Linked DNA regions of Coturnix japonica. The protein of the gene in region 1 purifies or fractionates together with the protein of each later gene. This does not show direct contact. Links are inferred from orthologs where the notes say so. Each region holds a gene or a part of one and is shown in the gene's direction. Other genes may lie near its edges.

Region 1 (3,655 bases):
TTAGAAGCTTAAAGTAGTATTTATGGTTTGGTTTGATTTCAGTTCAGCTAATCAACTCATGAATTACTTTAAGGTATCAACTCATGAATTACTTTAAGGTATCCTTAAGAAGAGTTTATATAAAGGACTAATGGTCAGATTTTTGTCTTATCAAAGTGTTAAGAATGTGTGTTCCAGATCCTGTGCAATAGTGGTCCCTGTACCTGGGAGCCTCTGTTATCTCCAGGATGTGGGTAAACTATCAAAACAAACATAAATCAACAAATGCGTCTCCAGGAAAAATACCGTGTCAGTGTTCTCAAGTGTAAAATCTAGCTTGTCCTGTGTAGCAGTTATGATCCTGCTCTAACCACAGTGATCTGAGCAGTGAGTTGTACATTCAGTAACAATGGGCACTTGTACACTGTGGCTCTTCCAGTCTATTTGTAGGTGCCTATTCTAGCCCTTACAGAACAGCATTCATCTTGTATGTTCTGGTATCACCTGGAAAGAGGCCCTTAGGGCTCAGATCCAGTTACCAGCTTCTTTAGCCAGGTTATCATTCCTTTCATTCTTGAGTAGAATATTTCAGTGAAGATCTTTGTGTTGTATGTACTTAGAGAAGTTTATGGGGTTTTATTTTTATGATGGTATGATTAAAACTATTATTTGTTCTGTGTCAAATGAATTTGAAAGGACTGATAGGAATGTATTTTGGTTCAAAGGTACAGAATCAAAGGTTTCTGTCGGTGTTTTGAACATCAGACTTGAAATGTATCCACCACTTACTAAGACTCTGTCTCCAGAAATAACAAGCACTCAGGTAAGTAATATGTAGGGGGTGAGGGATGGCCTGTTCTTTTATCAGCAGGGGGGATGCACACTGTACAGTTATTTATGTAGATAAAGGGTCGGTTACTCTACTTGAAAAGCCAGTAAATGGTGGCCCAAAGGTGTTACAGATATTATTCCACACTTAGCAAGGTGAGTAGTCCTTCTATACAGATATGCGTCACTGAAGATGAACACTACTTCAGTCAAGCTTGATATATCAGCCTACAAACAAGAAATGTAAATTGAGTTTTACATTCATTGGATTTTCACTTTAAAATACTATTCTTTAGCATTGGTTGCATGCTGTCATATTAAACTTCATTTTTCATATGCAAGGATCATGTGCTAGTATGTATATTGATTACTTTTTGTTCTTGTTTGGAATTATTATATGTGTGAATGGTTGTGTGTATTTTCCTACCTGTAGTTTACTTTGGAACGTCAGAAGACAGCAGAAAAAGAACGTTTATTTCTTGTGTATGCTAAACAGTGGTGGAGAGAATACCTGCAGATCAGGCCTACACACAACTCAAGGCTGGTAAAGATTTTTGCACAGGTTTGTATATTTTACAAATACACCAATCTGTTCTTCAAGGTGTTTTTTTTAGTCTTAGCTGCATGTTTGAAGTTTGTGTATGTAGAATTTGTATAGATTTATGATGTGGTTAGATTCCATTCAGGGCTACATGTGATACAGTATGCTGACAATGAAGTTTTCAAGACTTGAACTATGTATACTGAAGCTGAAGAGTATGTTTCATAGAGAAAGGCTGCTCCAAGCACCCCTGGTGTAGGAGGTAGAAAAGCCATTTTAGTCTTTTCCTTGAATAAGTACAAATGGCAAATGCTTAAGTGATCTATACAAACTATTGCAGACAGGTTTTATACAGTAATAAGTAGTGGAGTTACTGGATATACTGGAGCAGATCCATATAATATTTGAGCACTCTGTGGTTAATAAAGTAATCTGGCTGGTGAATGTTGCATGGTAGTTACAGATGTGAACAAATCATTGGCTAGTAAGTTACTGTGTTGTAACTTACGTCACAATCACATCAGTTGTTCCTTGGTGACTGCCCCTCAGTAGTAGGAATGGTATGGGACTATAAGGACAGGCTGAGGGAGCTGGGCTTGTTCAGCCTGGAGAAAAGAAGGCTGCAGGGTGACCTCATTGCAGCCTTTCAGTACTTAAAGGGAGCCTACAAACAGGAGGAGAGTCAAGCCTTTGAAAGGGTAGATAACAGACAGCCAAGGGGAAATGGTTTCAAGTTGAGGGAGGGAAGATTTAGGCTGGATGTCAGGGGGAAGTTCTTTGAGAGTTGTGAGGTGCTGGAACAGGCTGCCCAGAGAGGCTGCTGATGCCCCATCCCTGGAGGTGTCCAAGGCCAGGTTGGATGGGGCCCTGGGCAACCTGGTCTACTATTAAATGGCAAGGTTGGTGGCCCTGCCTGTGGCAGGAGATTTGGAGATTCTTGATCCTTGAGGTCCCTTCCAACCTGGGCCATTCTGTGATGCTTTGTGTTTATCATGCTAATATATGAATTTAACTTGTAGAGCAGCAATTTTCCTGGCACAGATGATGAAATAACTTCCGGAAGCAATCCACACCTGCTGTTTGTCTTCAGGGAAGTGAGGTCTTCTCTTCTGGCTTCACCAGCTGTGTACGGGAGTAGTGTCAGCTTCCACGTAAGGGTGTGGTGCATTCATCTCACTGCTGAACACACCTGGTGCAGCCGGAATGGAAGCTTCACTGGAAACTAACAGTAGATAATGGATTGCTTTAGGAAGTTTTAATAGTACTATTATTTCTTTACCACGTTCAGGATGAAAATGGAGTAAACCGTCCGGTATGTTCATATATCAGACCACTTCGAGCGGGCCGGTTGCTAGACACACCTAGACAAGCAGCACGATTTGTCAGTGTCCTGGGTTATGAAAGAGCTCCTGTCATCGGAGGAGGTGGTGGCAAACAAGAGCAGTGGTGCACACTTCTTGCATTCGTATGTAGAAACAAGGTATGTAAAAACAGTCTTTGCATGACAACTTTTATAGTTGGAATGAAGTTAGTCATTTAAAACAGGTTGCAAAAGGTGGACTGAATCCATTTCAGAGAACTCATAAATGCAAATAGCTTTTATAAGATCAAATAGTGGCAGATGTTAAGTATTAGACAAGAGGGCTTTGGAGCTGACTTACTTTATTCAGTGCTGTTGCTTGAATCCTTTTTTCAATGAATCCATTGGACATCATGTGTAATGGTTCCTTAAGGGGGGAAAAATAAAAGCCATCATCACAAACATCCCCTTTTCCTCCTTCAACCCAGCTTATGTTGCTGAGCGCTATGACATGTGACATGGGACATCCTTTGGGTGGTCTGGATCAGCTGTTATCCTGTTTCTGTCCTCTCAGTTCCTTGTGTACCACAGCCCTTTATGGGCAAGGCAGCATGAAGAACTGAAATATCCTTGTGTCTGTGTAAACGCTGCTCTGCAGCACCTGCAATGGTGTGCTGTCAGCACTGTTCTCATAAAAAATCCAAAATGCAGCACCATATGAGCCTCTGTGAAGAACAATAACTCCATTGGAAGTTGTAAAAGCCTGATATACTTTGATATGGTGCATATTAAAAAGAGGAATTCAAGATTCTTAAGTTTGTAACCTTGAAGTCCTGACTTCTGGTGCATGTTTTAGGTAAATAGGAGGGAAACGCGACTTGTTAGATAACAACTGGAGAAATACTGCTTTCTTTTTCTAATGTTTTTAGCTATGCCTGATAGTCAAACCAACATACAAACATTTACTGTCTAGGGTGACTGTGAAGATCATGCCAACCTTCTGTGCA
Region 2 (3,655 bases), on another chromosome or scaffold:
TCCAGAGTACCACTGTGCAATAAAAATTGCTCATCAAACTATTGCAAATATGCAAGAACGATTAAATCACAAGGAAGAAATGGTAAAAAAATACCAAGATCTGCTTGCTAAAGCAAGAAAGGTAGTTATGAATTGCATAAACTTTTTTTCCATTTGTAAAGTTTTAGTTGATCTTTTGTTAACCTCGCTGCTAATGGAAAAATTCTTCTTGGTTTCAGAGAGAACAGAATACAATTACTTGTTTTGTTTTTTTCTTTTTCCATAGAAAGTTAATGTACAATTTTTTAACTTCTTTAAATAAGAGGTTTGCTTGGTCAAGTGGTTTATGTATATGGTATATGTCTAGGAATTAAATTTGCATTAAAGGAAGATGATAAAAATTTGCTGGGAGAAGTGGTCTCCATTCTTCCAGAGTCTTTTCAAGTATTTGCAATGGTGATCCGTGTACTTAATCTTGCAGTAAATTTGGAAGGCATATGAAAGTGCATTTATGGAATACACACTTCTTACGTATACTGTCATTTAAAGTATACTTTTAAAGCATAAGCTTGTGTTAAAACATATTATTGTATTCTTAACATTTGTTTGGAACAGAGGCATATATCTGAAGCATAATTGTTTACTTAACATACATAGTTAATTTATCTGAGAGAGATCAAGTTTTAGGATAGGAGCTAAAACAGAAGATGCAGTCTTTAGAATGAACGTACTGTGCTCTGTCTGCTAGTAGACATTTAACCCATAGGATCGCATTAAAGTTAGTCCAAAGTAGGCAGCCCTGAATACTATATAGTATGGATATCACTACCCAGAGCGAGTCACAGTTGGTGAGGAGCACCAGCAGCTGTTTGCTTTCTAGCTCCCGCCATTTTACAGTACACTACTTGCAATATATCTGAAAACTGCAATAGTCACAACTTTCTAGTAGTAAGTGCTGAGAAGATGGAAAAAAAGAAAGGTATAATCATTAACAAGATGCAAAGTCTTTTTAAAAACAGAAGAACTGGAGGAAAAATTGAGGAACAGTACTGAACAATAACTGAAGAATCAGTTTGGAGGGTACTTCAGTTCCATGTGCATCAGTAGAATCACATTTCTATTTTGAACTAACAGGAACAAGAGGAATTAGCAAGGAAACATGAAGAAGATGTAAGAATTCTACACCAGAAGTTAGATTCGCATACTGAGAATTCTTTCAATAAATTGAAACAGACTGCTTTGGTAAGTTGTGTGTATTAGTGGGATTAGTGAACTTGTTCTGTATGTTGAAACTGGTTACTCAAAAGAACAGTTTTGTAGTCAAAATTAAGTAATAATGATGATGAAAAATAAATAGATGGTCAATACAGAAAGAACTTCAGAAATTCTTGAATTTGAGATAGATCAATTAGATGACAAGTGTGAAACAGAAAATTTCTACTTTAGACTACATCATCATTCTTTTTATTCTAATCTGGAGACTTACAGAGGAAGGATGAACGTTTATTTTTTCTTTATTCTTTCTGTCAGTTGCATTAAGTCCATTATAATGCAGATTTTCCTTTGACAATTGATGATAAGGTGACACCCACATGTAATTGGTTATTCTGTAGATTATTCCATGTGCAAAGTTCTTTTCAGCATGATATAGAAATTGTATCTCATTAGCTAAACATTCTAGATACTAACGTTCGGTTAGAACTGAGTTTAAAATGCATCACTAACCTTTGATTTAAAGCATAAGATGTTTATCATACACATTTGTTCTGTTTTACAGGAGTTAATGGAAAATCCTTCTCTATCGCTTAAGAGCAATGAACTCTTCCTCCGTTTAGCTGAAATGGAGCAAACTGTGGCAGAACAGGACAATTCTCTTGCTTCACTTGCTGTTAAATTGAAGAAAACATCATCTGATTTGGAGAAACAAAAACAGATTACTGTAATGAAAATCAAAGACTTTGAGACTATCAGAGCCCAGTAAGTTTTCAGACAGTTAACTTTAAGCTGGTCAGCTATGTGTTGCTGTTACTGACAGGGTCTGCTGAATTGTACATATTTTACCTAATATTTAGGTTTGGCCGAATTTTTTTTTATTTTTTTATTTTTTTCTTGTTTGCTATTCTCAGATTTATATATCATTTCTTTACTCATTAGATGGTAAGACACTGGAACAGCTTGCTGAGAGCATGGATGCCCCATCCCCAGATGCATGCAAGGCCAGAGTGGCTGGGCTCTCAGGCAACCTTAGTGAGAGGCGTCCCTGCCCATGACGAGTGGGTTAGAACTAGATGAGCTTTGATGTCCCATCCAACTCAGCCCATTCTGTGTTTCTACGATGATTTGCTTTAACAACAAAAAATACAACATTGTTGTTTTATTTGGAATTTGCTAGCTAATAATTAAGTGATTTGCCCTATTAATGTTTATTTTACATTAGGCTTCAGGAAAAACATGCAGTTGATGTGGAACTACTAAAAGATGAAGCAAATGGATTGAGGAAGTTGCTGTCTCAAACAGAGAAGGAATTAGCCCATGTAAAAGCTGAACTAGAGGCTCAAAAAGAAGCAAATAAGAGAGCACCTACAGCAACAATGAAGAGCCTAGTGGAACAGCTGAAGAACCAGTTAGCCCTAAAAGAGAAGCAGCAGAAAGTCAGTCAACAAAAATTAAATATCTAGATCACAAATAAAAATTAATGTTTAAAGTGGCTTAATATTTAAGAATTCTATGTATGGTACAGCAAGAAGTGAAACATGATTGCATAATTTAATATAAAATACAGTTGCATTTTGTTGTTTTCTGGTGTTCATATTAGTGGCTTCTTCTCCTACTATAACTTGCATCTTTTATTTTCAGGCTTTGAGTAAAGCACTTCTGGTACTTCGATCAGAAATGACTGCAAATGCTGAACAGCAGATAATTTCTGCAGCATCACAGAAAGAGGCATATATGAACGTCCAGGAAATTGTTGACAGAGAAACTAAGAAGCTCATGGTGAGTACAAGGTAATGTCTTTGTAGTCTATTATTATGTTGCTGGTACATCTTGATGTTTTTTGTTTTTTGTTTTTGTTTTTTTTCTGTATTTTTTTTCCTCTAGACACAGATAGAGGAACTAAATAATCAGATTTCAAAACTTACAGATAATCTTAAACTGAGTAAAAACAGGGAAAGATCTTTATTAGATGAAAGGGATGAGCTCAACCAAGAACTTCAGAGGAAGCAAAAGGCATTTACTAAAATGACAAGAGAAAAAAATGAAATCGAAATGGAAAATGATGAACTGAAGAAACGGATCAAGAGACTAACCAGTGGTATTCAGGTAGAAGTGATTTTTAAAAATGTATTTCACCTTGGTTAAGCTTTTATACTAGATGGGCTGGCTTGATGGAGGAAAGATTAACTGATTTTGACAGGCACTGAGACCAAGAATCAATATAAAAGTGTATGTTTGCTATCAGCTGAGTTACAAATGAGCTATTAGTCTTTCCTGTTGGAAGTATGTCTCAAATAAATTGAACAGGCTAAAAAATACTTTTTTCTTGTAACAAATTTAGAGTTTGAAGAGTTGAATTGCCACTTTTAAAGCTGTTAAGAATGGCTAGCTTGAATTTTGTGACCTTCCTGTTTGGAAGTATAACTGTCTGAACTTTGTTTCTGAATTCAACTAACTAATA
Region 3 (3,462 bases), on another chromosome or scaffold:
TGTTGGTATTGAGTCATTCCTCTGTTAACCGTCAGAGGAATGATTCTCACTTTGCTTTTATGATTTTCAAATACGATTCTGTTTTTTGATCACATGAATCTATGTTTTAGGGGGATTGTTATCAAAGTTTCTCAACTTGTAATACAGGAATTGTGGATATATTAATATCGTTCAGGATCAGTCTGGGAACAGTTTGTCAGATCCCTTTGGTTTACTATCATAAATGACAGAAGTTCTGTGAATCAGACTGAGCTCTTGGTGAGCCTATAGAAAATCCCAATGCTTTCACATGATACCTCCACATTTATCTTGATGGCATCAGGTGGGGAAGGCAGAATTTAAAGCGCAGAAGCACTATTTTTCTTCCTTTATCTCCTTCCTACTTCAGGAGAAAGAGACACATCTACTTGAAGAGGTCAGGTTCAGTATGCAAAAAGATCCTTGAAGTATTAGCAAGTCAGTGCATGTTTGACAGCAAAAGGAAAGCAAACTCTTAATTGTTACTTGGACGGACAGCAACTGGATATTGATGACAAGCCAGTGTTGGGCTCAATGGTGTTTTCAGAAGTTCAGAGGGCATTTTTATGTAATCTTGTTGATTTTGTTACCAGGATATTATTTAATTTGCATTATTTTGGATATGTGTTCTTGCAGACTAAGAAAAGAAAGAGAGGAAGATAAGATTCAGAGGCTTGTACAGGAGGAAGCTGTCAGATTTGTTTGGAACCAGGTAAATAGCTGTAGTCCTCTTATTTTTTTTTTGCTTATGAATAGAGAAGATATTTCATACTATAGAGCATGAAGAGATGGTGAGTATGGTTCATTCTTCCAATTACAAGCTCAGTGGCTTATTAGAATCTAATTGCAATGGATTTGGCTGTTCTTTTACTCAGGGGAAAAGTAACATTCAGAAGTGTTAATGCAATAAGCTGTGTTTGTAATAAAGTGATAAAATACAGCTTGATATGAGAAGAAGGACAAAGTGCAAGGAAAACTAAACAAGCATGGTAGGCATGAGACTTGATGCACCTGCTGGATGCTTAGGGCAAGTGAAATAGTGTCGAGCGGTGTTGCTTCTCATCAATCAAATCATTTCTAGAGTAGAAAAAGCATGTATATATATCTTTTAATAAGCTGTTATTTCTTCCCGAGCTTGAATATTTGATTAGAGCTTTGTTGCCAATTGCAATAGCTTAGAAACCTAAGTGCTTTTTATACTTTGCAGGTTAAATCCCTTCAACAGTGGCAGCTTACAGTGACACAACACTTAGGTACCACTTGTCAACCTGGGATCCCTTCAGCCGGTACTTCTTGTCTCTCAGAACCGTCCACTCAAACATCTACTCTTGAGCAAGAAACCCCATCAGATGTCAGTTCTGCTTGCTTAGCTCCAGCTGGTGATGTCCTTCAGGAGAAGCCTTTGTTACAGTTCCCAGATTCTGGCTTTCATTCTGCCATGGCTGACCAGACTCATACTGGTGACTTGTGTACTGATGAAAAGAGTCTAACAGAAGGAACTGAGGGCTCTCTTTCGGTGGAAACCATCAAACAGTGTGGCAATTCTGCTTCAGAACGTTCTTCAGATGTAGAAGATGACGGTGGGGGATGTGAACAAAGCACAGAGAGCTCGAATAACGAGCAGGACAACAGGCTTCTACAGCAGTATTTGGAATCTGTTGAGCAACTAGTAGAGGCGGATGAAGGGACAAATTGCAATGATGAAGGAGAAGAGGGTGGCTGGCCACAAGTTGATATTTCAGCAGAGAGCCAAGATTCTTCATCTGACCTTCTGTCTGTAGGTATCCCTCAAGGGACATCTTCCCCAGCACGAGGTGAAATGAATCAGACACCTGACAGCTGCAAACTAGATTCAGGAATAGGTGAGGGGAAGCAAACAGACTGTGATTCTTCATTTCAGATGCTGCATGTTGGAATAGCTGTATAGTAGGCTCTGTTTCACTAAGGACTAGGGATTCCATTTCAGTTTTGTTTGTTTTTGTTCCCCCATTTATATAAAACTTATTTCCATTATTGTGTGCTTGGATTTTATTTATTCACATTCTATACTCATGTTAACAATTTGTTTTAATTGGCAGTCTGCTCATGTTGCTGAGGACTGACGTATACTGTGCTAGCTTGAAGTCAACGAAGTTCTCAGTGTCTTTCATTATGCACTTTATTTTCTAACACGTAGCTGATATTCTAGTAAATGGCTTCCTTGAAATTAGTTCTGAAGGGGCGCAGAGGGGTGTTGGCTGTAAATTCACCTCAATGAACGTGTTAGTTAGTCTTCTGATTATTTTTTTTCCTTCTAGAAAACAGAATTGAATCCTTGCTCTGCAAAGAGAAAAATCTGATGAAAGAAGATGAAAGCAGTTGCCTTTCAGAGCTTTTGACTACAGCAAGTGTTAGTTAGCATTTCAGATATGCGTTCCATGAATCCTGTGTCCAAGCCAGTGACATCTTACTATCTTTTACTTGAAGCTGCTGGCTCAGAGTTTGGTCAGTTATATAGATTCTGAAACAAAGACTTAGAGGAGTCAGACCTTAGGGGAGCTTCAAACAAACTTTGGTCTTTGTTTTCCCTGGGGTTGAATTTCCCTGTTTTTTCTCAGGTAAGAAAAAACTCAAAGTGGAACCTGTAGCAGCCTTTACCAAGTTTCAAAAGGGCATGTGATCTGGGAGCTTAGTTTCCAAGAGTACACTGCTGACTTACAGCAGCGGACTTAATGATACGTATTTTGCCTCCACGAGGTTGCTAATGTCATTTTGGGATTCATGACTTTCTAGACATGAGTGTGTTTGATGGATCACAACTCCTATATACAGCTATGAATATTAAAAGCAAATGTCATGACTTAAAACTATTGATATCTCTCTTGGTTGTTTCTTTTTTGGGGAAGTTGTTTTTCCTTTTTCTACTTGATGGTATTTGACATTCCAATTATGTGTAGATAAGAAACTATCTTAATTGCCTGTTGGAAAATACACTTAGTTTCCTAAACTGTGCTTTCCATTTAAACTCCAGGCAAGGAATTGCAGGTATATTTTGTGTAAACCATTTTTTTAATTACTTTTTTTTTTTTTTTTTTAGTGAAGAAAGATTAGGTAACTTGTATGACAAATGCAGGAAGGGAAATTAGTTTTGCCAGTGGATGTTAGATTGATGTGACTTTTAGGGGAAAGTTAGCTTTGCTATTATTGTCTTTTGCAACATGCAGTGAAAAGCCGGTGTTTCCAACAGTTTGCTTATACTAATTCCTCCAAGAACAATACTGCCAGTCGCACAGACATGAACATGTACGCCTACTGCATCTCTCTGAACACACAGATTAACTTCTGGTGCTACTGTGTCACTGAAATCAACTAGCCCTGTCCTAAAGTAATTCTTCTGACCATGTTGCCATACAAAATAACATAGTTGTTGTAAAAGCTTTTGTTGCTTGTCTATTTTAGGTTCTG

Evidence for each region.
Region 2: the proteins of CEP76 (region 1) and CEP290 purify together in Homo sapiens (co-immunoprecipitation; 5 studies listed by BioGRID and IntAct, with this or other methods). This does not show direct contact. The link is inferred for Coturnix japonica from reciprocal best matches to the Homo sapiens genes CEP76 and CEP290.
Region 3: the proteins of CEP76 (region 1) and CEP97 purify together in Homo sapiens (co-immunoprecipitation; 4 studies listed by BioGRID and IntAct, with this or other methods). This does not show direct contact. The link is inferred for Coturnix japonica from reciprocal best matches to the Homo sapiens genes CEP76 and CEP97.

The regions. Positions count from the first base shown.
Region 1 is NC_029517.1:87,454,319-87,457,973, forward strand, and holds part of CEP76 (centrosomal protein of 76 kDa), read left to right. Parts: intron 1-704; coding exon 705-802; intron 803-1,240; coding exon 1,241-1,369; intron 1,370-2,636; coding exon 2,637-2,828; intron 2,829-3,621; coding exon 3,622-3,655. UniProt on the Homo sapiens protein: Centrosomal protein involved in regulation of centriole duplication. Required to limit centriole duplication to once per cell cycle by preventing centriole reduplication.
Region 2 is NC_029516.1:38,937,869-38,941,523, reverse strand, and holds part of CEP290 (centrosomal protein of 290 kDa), read left to right. Parts: coding exon 1-121; intron 122-1,113; coding exon 1,114-1,221; intron 1,222-1,756; coding exon 1,757-1,956; intron 1,957-2,416; coding exon 2,417-2,630; intron 2,631-2,835; coding exon 2,836-2,973; intron 2,974-3,078; coding exon 3,079-3,300; intron 3,301-3,655. UniProt on the Homo sapiens protein: Involved in early and late steps in cilia formation. Its association with CCP110 is required for inhibition of primary cilia formation by CCP110.
Region 3 is NC_029516.1:76,482,363-76,485,824, forward strand, and holds the end of CEP97 (centrosomal protein of 97 kDa), read left to right. Parts: intron 1-654; coding exon 655-730; intron 731-1,225; coding exon 1,226-1,880; intron 1,881-2,315; coding exon 2,316-2,416; 3' UTR 2,417-2,867; downstream 2,868-3,462. UniProt on the Homo sapiens protein: Acts as a key negative regulator of ciliogenesis in collaboration with CCP110 by capping the mother centriole thereby preventing cilia formation. Required for recruitment of CCP110 to the centrosome.